Kluyveromyces lactis: one gene and its partners. The protein of the gene in region 2 interacts with the protein of the main gene of each other region in a pairwise test. Links are inferred from orthologs where the notes say so. Each region holds a gene or a part of one and is shown on either strand. Other genes may lie near its edges. The genes, in order: SHC1, CHS3 and CHS7.

The links.
Region 1: the proteins of CHS3 (region 2) and SHC1 interact in a two-hybrid assay, tested with the Saccharomyces cerevisiae proteins (3 studies listed by BioGRID). The link is inferred for Kluyveromyces lactis from reciprocal best matches to the Saccharomyces cerevisiae genes CHS3 and SKT5.
Region 3: the proteins of CHS3 (region 2) and CHS7 interact in binary tests that used the Saccharomyces cerevisiae proteins (3 or more experiments, as listed by UniProt). The link is inferred for Kluyveromyces lactis from reciprocal best matches to the Saccharomyces cerevisiae genes CHS3 and CHS7.

What each region holds. Positions count from the first base shown.
Region 1 is NC_006041.1:1,799,581-1,803,342, reverse strand, and holds SHC1 (Shc1p), read right to left. Parts: upstream 2,238-3,762; coding exon 156-2,237; downstream 1-155. Other genes in the region: recombinase RAD51, read right to left, coding at 2,903-3,762. UniProt on the Saccharomyces cerevisiae protein: Activator of the chitin synthase CHS3 which polymerizes chitin, a structural polymer of the fungal cell wall.
Region 2 is NC_006040.1:302,380-306,141, forward strand, and holds the start of CHS3 (chitin synthase CHS3), read right to left. Parts: upstream 2,398-3,762; coding exon 1-2,397. Other genes in the region: KLLA0_D03520g (M20 family metallo-hydrolase), read left to right, coding at 3,526-3,762. UniProt on the Saccharomyces cerevisiae protein: Polymerizes chitin, a structural polymer of the cell wall and septum, by transferring the sugar moiety of UDP-GlcNAc to the non-reducing end of the growing chitin polymer.
Region 3 is NC_006040.1:672,692-675,329, forward strand, and holds CHS7 (Chs7p), read left to right. Parts: upstream 1-1,137; coding exon 1,138-2,091; downstream 2,092-2,638. Other genes in the region: KLLA0_D07876g (uncharacterized protein), read right to left, coding at 2,270-2,485. UniProt on the Saccharomyces cerevisiae protein: Chaperone required for the export of the chitin synthase CHS3 from the endoplasmic reticulum.

The DNA of each region.
Region 1 (3,762 bases), on a different chromosome or scaffold from region 2:
TAATGATGTATATGCATTTTCCGAACTATTTTACTGATATCCAGATTTTAAATACAATGATTTATACATTGAGATGGCCGAGGTCTATAAGTTCTAAGAATAAACTGAGAAAAACATGCAGTTGCTTGTAGATAGTTTCCCTATTTCTACTTAGCTCACATAATCACGCAACCTTTCTTGGTCTTTTCCCCATTCTTACGTTTACTCTTGCTCTTTAAGTTCTTCTTAATTGAATCGATGCCGTTCTTTTCATTTTCTCCAAGAGCTGGTTTAGTTTGAGGAATGGAGATCTTGTCCAATTTGGGGTCAGAAAGAGATCTTAAATTAGGTGTCTTTTCTACATCCTGGTCATGTAAGCTCTTCTGACCACTAGCTGACAGGGTATTCTGATGTTCCATCGCAGACTGCTTTTGTAGTGAAGCAGACAATGTGCTTGGGGTTTCTTGTTGTGGATGCTGCAGTTGTTCAACGGGTATCGAATTGTTCCGCTTATTTTTCTTAGATGGATCCGTCAGATTTTGCTCCATATCAACAAAAGTTCCCGGCTTATCATCTTGGTCCAAATTCAGATGGAACGATTTTCTTTTACCCTTTTCTTCATTGTTGTCCAGTAAGAAATTGAAATTAAATGTACTTAAACTCTTCGACTTTCTTGAGGAACGATCTTTAATCTTCAGTTTGTTCAAGGCTCTCGGATCCTTGTTATCAGCAGCTAACTGATACCATTTCATAGCATTTTCAGTGTTTGGTTCACATCCTTTCCCCTTTTCATAGAAATATCCAACTGTGAATTGAGCCTTCGGATAACCTAACTTGGCCGCCCTCAGCGCCCATTCAAATGCTTCATTGTCATCGGCAACAAACGCAGGCTTAGCTCCGATTAGATACCATGCACATAACCCCATCATAGCCTCTGGATCCCCACCGTGTGATGCAATTGTATAATAATTTACACTAAGAAGTGTATCCTGTGGAACTACTTCGTTACCAACTTCGTATATTCTCCCCAAATGAGTCGCAGATGGCGTATGTCCCAATGATGCGGCTTGTATGTAAAGTTCCATAGCATATTTTCTATCGGCAATCAAGATATCAAGGAAACCAGTGTCATAAATCTTCGCCATCTCATACGGAGCCGCACAAGTCAACCTGTTGGCTTTTGCAGCCGCACGAGACAACCATTTCAAACCGTTCTTCTTCGTATTGAGATCGTCTGAAAGACCCATCTTAGCGTAAAATGCGTACACCCCAAGTTTAAACATGGCAGCTGGATGGTTTCTGGATGCAGCAAACTTCAAAAATTCGATGCACTTACGAGAATCCCTGGTAGTACCTATCCCTTCCTCAAAACATACCGATGTTCTATAAGCTGCTTCGACGTGCCCATGTTTTGCAGATGCTTGGAAAAGAGAGAATGCTTCTTTTTGATTCACTTTCCCAAAGACACCACTAGAGTAAGAATCTGCGAGTAAATATTGTGCATCTTTGTAACCTTTAACGCTCAATTTCTTAAGATAATGTAATGCTTCTTTCAAGAATTGCTGTCTCTGCTCTTCCACGGTTAACCCGTCTTCATTTTTTTTGTCATCAAATTCGGTGGGGTTCATAGTTAATGCAGTTTGTAACATGTACTGACTGTACTGGAACAAGACATCCGGGTTCTTCGATTTCTTAACATTTTGTTTGTACATTTCGATGGTTTTCTGACGAGATAGTAACGAGGCAGCCGAATCATTACCTAAATATGTGCTAATTCTCTTGTGAGACTCATCTGCCACAAGTTCATTCGTGGACGTGAATCGTATGTCCCTTTCACCACCGAGGTATAAATGTGAAAGATCTACGGATCTTGATCTTCTGTTCGGATTCTCCGCATTTGAACTAAAAGAAACAACGGACTTTACCCGTCTATCTGAGCCTCTAGAACCGCTAGAAGGTATAGAATTCACAGACATATTCCCATTGCTCGATTCAGATCTCTTATGTTTCCTGATATACTCAGGTGTCTCATTTGGAGGTGTGTTATTATTTGAACGTAAATTCGCGTACTTTTCTCCGGTTACTGTAAAACTAGGCGAGCTCAAACCGGACAAAGCCCTAGGTTCCTCATCATCGGCTTTAAAGTCAGCAGAAGAAACATTACCACTAACTTCAAGTTCAGGGATGTCAACCACCATAGGATTCAGTTCAGCTAAATGCTGTGCGTATGGATGGACATGCGAGGCTGATGCTGCCATTTGTAACGTTCGATTTATCAATTATATCACGAGAATCGGTCAAAAAAATTATCAAAAAAGAGTCGTACTTAAAACCCCAAATAACAGAGTGCCTAGTGACAAGTCTAATATATCGGTAGCACGCTTCTCCGCTCTGTCCCTCCTGTTTCTTGCCAGAATATGTTCTCTCGCAAACCTTTGTTTTACAAAGTTAACGTGTTTTATATAGAAATGCAAAATTACTCTTTCTTGTCTATATGTGGAAATGGTGAAATTTCCAAAAATTTCGCTTCAGATTGTTGACGTTCGGAATTCCGGTGTGATGAGGTAAAGAATATTAAAAGAAGTCAAGCCTATTAATAGCACACTGACATGGAGAAGTGTTTGTAGCTATGATATGCAAGTCCCTTAAATGAAAGGATAGTCGTCCCTTTTCGCTGAGGGAATTATATGCGTTTTATGCGAGCATTTAACAACTAGAGAGGGTTTGCATGAATATACATATAGAATAACGTGCCCTATGGACTATTTATAACACGAATGATATGAACAAATAAATGAGAAGATAGATACGCAGTGGGGTTTTACTAGCAACGTAGGAAATTGAATGCTATATTAAAAATGTGGATTTTTCTTTTTATTCTTTTTTTTTTGGTGTTATGAATAACCAGGTAAAGAGAATCAGATCAATCATCGTCTTCCCTTGGATCTCCGATACCATCCTCGTAGATCGCAAACACACATTCTGCTTCAGGCAAACATGGTGAGTCTACCACTTTACAGTATCTCTGTGGACCTTTCCCCTTCTTGAATCCAAGACGAGTAGTGGAGGAATGAGCCATGATATTACCACCAATCGGTTTTTTTGGATCAGGGTTAAACATCATTCCTCCGTCAACTTGGGCCACAACCTGATTTGTCACTACCGCTGCGACACCAAACTGATCAGCTAGTCTTTGTAATGATCTCATGAACTTGGCAAGGTGCATCTGTCTTGCACTTAACTCACCACGTCCCGAGAAGTCGGTTCTGTACAATGCCATAATAGAATCGACAATAATCAGCGAAAATCTTGACTCACTCATCATCTGTGCAGCTGCGTCCAACAATTTCAATTGATGGTCTGCGTTATAAGCTCTTGCATATGCAACGTTATTTAAAGCATCGTCAGGGTCCAAACCGAACCTCTGCGCAATCGAAACCAACCTAATCGGTCTGAATGTACCCTCCGTATCAATGTACAAACACTTGCCTTCACCGCCTCCCATATCCAAAGGTATCTGGCATGTGACAGCCAATGTATGGCAAAGTTGCGATTTACCAGTTCTAAACTCACCAAACAGTTCAGTGATAGATCCGGTTTCTATCCCTCCGCCAAGTAGAGTATCAAGATTTTTCGATCCAGTAGTTAAACAGATCATTTCGTTTCTACGCAAATGAAAATCAGCCGCAGTGACAAAACCCATAGGCACTAGTCTCGACGCTTCAGCGAGTAACTTATCAGCTTTAGCCTCTGATATACCTTTAATCTCCATTAAATCTTTTC
Region 2 (3,762 bases):
AATTTGCCATATATTTTTCATTAGTTGGAACTCTAAAGCCGACATTCTTTCATCAAAAGTCACTTTTTGTAGGAAAGACATCAATATAATTTGTGAATCACGCTTACCTCTGTTACCAGGCTTCGCTGAGCCTTGTTCTTCAGCTGTACCACATTTTACAATGGTGATAATTGGAACACGTTGCTGATTTTCGGCGGGTATGGTGGATTCATCGTATTTATAAAACCCAGCATATATTTTTGCCATATTATGTCTTTTTGCGCCAACTGCAATTGCAACGTAAGGATAAGCTGTAACTTGCTCCTTGGGAATCACAAAGTCTTCCATCATATCTAATACTATGTCCGGGGTGGTTCTGTCATTACCAGAACCTTTAATAATACCATCGCAGATTACAACGATTAATTTATGAGAGTTTGGATAATCTGTGGTTGCAATGGAATCTAATGTTGTTCTTAAACCTACCTCATCTTCTGAATAACAGGTGACACAGCAGAGTGAGTGAACCAATGGAAATCCATAGGGCATGAAGTCTGGGGGCGGCTGTAATACTGCATCGGGGTGAATGATCGTTGGATCTAACGATTCCATAGTCATTGAAGTACCGAAAGGATCAAGATTGTCGGAAAAAGGATTAATAGTGGAGACCGGTCTTGACTGCGAGGCGAATCCAGCATGTGCACTTTTTCTCTTCATTTCATTCATATATGCTGATTTCAGCACGGATTGTGTAGTCATTGTAGACATACCAGTACTTTCAAGGCTCTGAATGACAGGATCATTCAAGTGTACAGATTTACCCAATGATTGTTGGCTAAATCGGGATTTACGGTTGAATAAACTGATACTGGAGCTGTTTTTTTTATGATTTTTCTTCATTGGTCTTAATGATGGATCAACGGGCTTCAAAGGACCACGAGAATTGATATCTTCTGACCAATCTTCTAAGTCGTTATTATGTTTGGCGAGTTGTTTGTTGTCAACAGTGTACGCACCTTGTTTTTTTGCTACAAAGTAGTGGAAGTAGCACGCGATGAAGAATTTACAACCGACAACGGATAGAATGAATACCAAAGATAAATATAATACCACTTGAGAAGCAATACAGCCGATACTTTCTGAATCAATAACACCAACCTTAGCAAGTTCAACGAGACAACGGGCTACATTTCTTTCTCTGCTAGTGGATAAGACCAATGAAATGTCATAACCTTCTAAATTGGCTGATTTCAAGACATCAAATGTCTCTGGATATGTAAGATCGTCAGTTTCTAGCCAGTCTAAGATCCCCAAATCAATAACGTCACCATTATATACAATCAACTTTCTCGTAGAATTTTTAATATCCTCCCAGGAGAAGTATACCTCCGCCGGGGCATTAAGGGCATAGTACTGTTCCCTGGCAGTCGAGCTCGTGTGACAACCCCAGCCAGCGTAGTATTCTGACTCTGTGAAGTTAGGTTTACTTGAACCATCTTGGTTAACAAGTTTGCATGGGAAGTACCATGCCATATTTCCGTCGTCATCGAAAGGAATAGTAGAATTTTCTCTTGGTTCAATCAACCCTTTGCAGTTACCGTTAACGTTTTGGAAAAGGAAAGACGCGTCCATGCCACCAGCATTCACAGGAGGATATAGAATATTAGATCCCCCAGGGATACCAGCTGCAGCTGGATGAGAAGAAGATTCTAGAGAGTATGCCTGTCCATGAATAATTAATTGTCCTGTGGTGGCTTCATTGTTGCGCATCCTTACTTTGCCTGGAACACAGACAGTTCTTGTGAACCCGAAAGTCAGGTAAGCGACAAACGCTCCAATATAAAAGATGATTGAAATCAACCCAATTTTATCTCTCCATGCTCTTTGAACCGCTTTTGTCTTCATGCCAAACAATTTTAAAACGGAAGGAGGAATGAAGATTGTAATCAAAAAACAGTACGATTGCCATAACGAAAAGCCCACTTTGGGCTTGTTTTGATCTTTGGCCTTAGATTCTAACCTTTGTCCGATCTCTATTGGAGGAGACACGTTCTTTTCTGAATAAATACTGTTTTTCTTTTCAAACCCATCGCTACCCTCCATTACCAACCTTTCATTTGGTTCACCATATTCACCCACTGTGTTCAAAGAAGAACTTGGAAGTTTATCGTTTGACTGTACATTCAGGTCTTGCATTGGAATATCCAACGAGGACTCTTCAGGCAAAGCACCTGTTGTGGAAGGATTGATCTGAAGATGAGTTTCCTTCGCTTTTAAAGCATAATAATGGTATGGATGGTCTGGATCTTTAAAACTATTTCTTTCAGGTCTGACCAAAGAGCCTTGTCTTGAAATCTGTCTCTGAGACCGAGATTTCAACAGTGACTCGTTGTCAAATGCATAGTAATCATCAGACATGAGGGTCTAAATGATATTGTGTTCAAAATGAAGAAATCGGACAACAAAAAAAACCACAGTCGAAAATAAATAGATATATGACCTCAAATGATGGTAGAAAACAGCAGTTAATATCCGTAATGTGAAATGAATAGAACAGACAATGTTGCTATTATTTTATTGTCAATATTTTTTTTCCGAGTTTTAAGTCAATTACTATTTTTATCACAGATCAGATTCTTTAGTATTGAAACGAATGGGGACTAAATGCACCGAATGGTATGTATGCAACACTCTAACCGCACGTATGATAAAAGCAGAAAACAACAGGGTATCTTCGAAGGGAAATCTCACGATTGGTGCGCAGTCTGCAACATGTAAATATTTCAAGAATTAGACATAAACAATGACAATAATATTAATGTTCTAATGCTGATGATGGAGATGATGGTTTCTGTGTTAGCTTTTTCGAAACCTGGGATTTACTTCAGATTATATTTACCCGGATATTTCATGGGAATGGCGTCCATTCTTTTACCCGATTGGGTTAAAGGACTTGTCACGTGAGGCTACTCCTAATCAAGAATTTTCTCGGATATTCCGGAGCACAAGCGGTGCGTGTGTTCCCGGGTTCGAATCTTTAGGGGACCAGTAATATATATATATATATATATATATATATTACGATGTGTGCTGCAACAAGTTACAGAGTAAAAGAGATCGACACATGAGCCGGTGATGAGGAAAAAAGCCTGATCCAAGCAACCACGGCAAGTACCGACCTGAGATCTCGGGTATGGTGATCCTGTATATGATATGATTATCATGAACTTTTTTTCCGAATCTGATTCCGTTCTTCGAATTGGCAACTGTTTAGTTTATTTGGAACCCTATCTCGCATTTGATAACGTCGCAAAAAAAAATGGACTACCTAGATAGAATTAGGTTAAAGGCTGCAACTCGATAAGCGAGAGATATCGATAGGTTGCAAGATATTGACTATAAGACATGTTTCAAAACATAAATATATATATATGTATACTAGAGTTGGTATTCTTGTTTGTCTCCAGGTTATGATGTTCCCTTTCCTGTTCAGTATGGAGCTAGTTTGAGCTACAAACAATACATAAACATCAAAAAAGAAAACTTATGACATCTACCATTGCTCCAACAACTACAACTACAACTACTGATTCTGCGACAGGCACAATCAATCTCGTCGGCCATGTTCCTTTGCAGATTGCTCCTGGAAGATTGAACGATACAATCTTATCTACCGGCAGCGAATTTGGAGGTGTTGCCAGATGGGGTGAAGAACGTCACGAATTTGGTATGAGGAGACTTGCAGGGACCGAATTAGACGGTAAGATGAGAGATTGGTTTGTT
Region 3 (2,638 bases), about 370 kb from region 2:
TTTGATCTCTGTTGAGTTACGCTTTCTGAATGTACTGAAACAAATAGGTGCTATAACAATCAACTATACGATATATCTACTATGATGAACTTTCCTTGTGTAATATTTTAATGTTGAAAAATTCAAGGTGGTTCAATCCTTCCAGATGAGAATTGCCGAATGGCAGCCATCGAAGCAGAGACGGCAGCAAGAGTGAAAGGCGAACAAGTCCAGACGAGCAGGCGTTACTGGCCCCCCGACTACGCAGGTCCAAGCTAGCCTGGGCGGGAAGCAGTAGGCAGAAGCAAGCATGAATGCGTAATGTGTTGGCAAGAGAGACTACACTGCCGGTAGCCCAGACCAGACCGACCAGGAGGAAGGTCTGTTAGTGGAAAGTGAGTGATTCGGCCTGGTTAGGCCACACCAATGCCACTAGGCAATGTTATTTTCCCACAGACGAATATAGTCCTAATTGGGAAACAATTTTATTTTTCACATTTCAATTGAACACGAAAATCAATGTGTGGGTGGTTAAGAGAGATTTTATGGTGCACGGATGCAAACAGTCACAAGAACCGTCTTCTGTCTATACAAGCTTTCTTTTCAGGATACTAAACCCTTGAATGTCGACAGCTTAGACTGACGCGCATCAATTTCTTTTTTTCCTCTTTAATTGGTTCAATATACCGGACAGCGTTAACACAAGAGAACGTACCTTAGAAGGACGCTGCCACCAAGGGTCCGGTTTTCTTGCCGGTCCCTTCTCAAGGATGCTCAAGTAAACTTTGCTTCGGCAAGCATGTTTTCGGTGCATGTAGATTGACTTTGGTAGCCATCCTGATGTGCCTCGGCCATCCGTCACGTCAGAGCACAAAGATTCAATTATTCCAAATCGGGAAACCTACTGAAAAACCAATTGCCTATAATACAAGAATGCGAAACATTGAACAAGAAGAAGAATAAAAAGAGTAAATAAGAGAGGTTTCACAATGCTTGAAGCACAAAATTCAAGAACCTCTATTTGGACTCCGTTTTTATTGGTTCGAAGCCATATATTAGAACACAAGGGTTTAAACTTCCTTTGTGTGCATTGAGCGAAAGGGCGAGCGAAAGAAGTTATTAGACCGCGTGAAACGTGCTCCTAATTATAGCAAAGAGATGTCTTTTGGAGATTTCAGTAAGATCTGTCAGAGGACCCCGTTGCCGCTTTGTTCAGTTGTGAAGTCTGCAAAACAGATGGTGTTGACCAATGATACTACCATCAAAAATTCCAGGTTGGATATTATAGATTTAGGGATTATACCAGTATGTTACGCCAGATCCATTGATGTAGCAAATACGATGATCTTCGAGATTGGGAACGCATTCATCAATATTGTTGCATTTTTTCTGTTGATCATTATCATATACAACGTGCGGAGGAAGGTGACAGCAATTGGGAGGTCAGAGTATAGTTACTTCTTTCAAACTTGTTTGGTTTTGATTATCTTCACTTTAATTGTCGATTGTGGTGTTTCTGCTCCAGGTTCTTCTGCATATCCATATTTGGTATCCGTACAACTGGGTTTAGCCGGGGCATGTTGCTGGATGCTTTCAGTACTTGGATTATTAGGGTTCAGACTATGGGAAGATGGTACTTTCAAGTCAATGTTGCTCTTATATGGGATGTCCTTTGGTGGATTCATTTTGAACTTCGTTGTAAGCATAGTTACTTTCAAGGAATGGATACAGAGGAAAAGCGATATGTCAACAGACACCATGGGATTATTCACAGTAATGTATGTCATTAATGCGTTGGCTCTACTTATCTACATCATTTGTTTATTGATAGTGTCAGTGAAAGTCTTACAAAATTACTGGGCTACAGGGGCCATTCTCCTCGGTGTATTCTTCTTCGTGGCGGGCCAAGTTCTAATATATGCTTTCTCAAACAATATATGTGAAGGTATGAATCACTATTTGGATGGAATGTTCTTCGGTAGCTTATGCAATTTGTTTGCAATTATGATGCTGTATAAAAACTGGGACATGAGTACCGATGATGATTTAGAATTTAGTGTCAGTATTGACTCCACTGAGTACAGCACTTTCAACTCCGATATCAAACTGTGAATAGAAACTCTTTCTCATAAACATTCATTTCCCCCTACATTTTGCATAATAAACATTAAATAAACGGCTTCAACGACTACAACGACTACAAGCCCCTCATGCCGGTTAATGTTCATTCATATTTAACAACTTTGTAAGTAATTAGATTCGTTTTTGTATTTCATTGATAACTGACCTGTCATTTCCGCTGCTCATCCTCTAGCCGGCTCTTAGCTGCTCGCAGTATATCCCTGTCCGATATGAATGAAAGATCGTTGATGATTTCGTTGGAGTTGAACGGGTATTGGCAGGTTTCGTTAGTGCATATTGTCACCGCATAGTTCTGTTGAATCAAACATCTCTGCAAATTGCTTTGACACTGCGGACATTTCAAATCGTTCTTCGGTTTTGACATATGGATTTATCTTAGTATAGGTGTATTTATGGCGTGGTTGTTTGGACACAATAATGGACGCTATACAACAGCCACCTCATCTCATCAAACTTCACAACTTTCTTTGTCAGTTAGATATTTTTCGTTCCCTTATGAACATCTATCTCTGTTGAA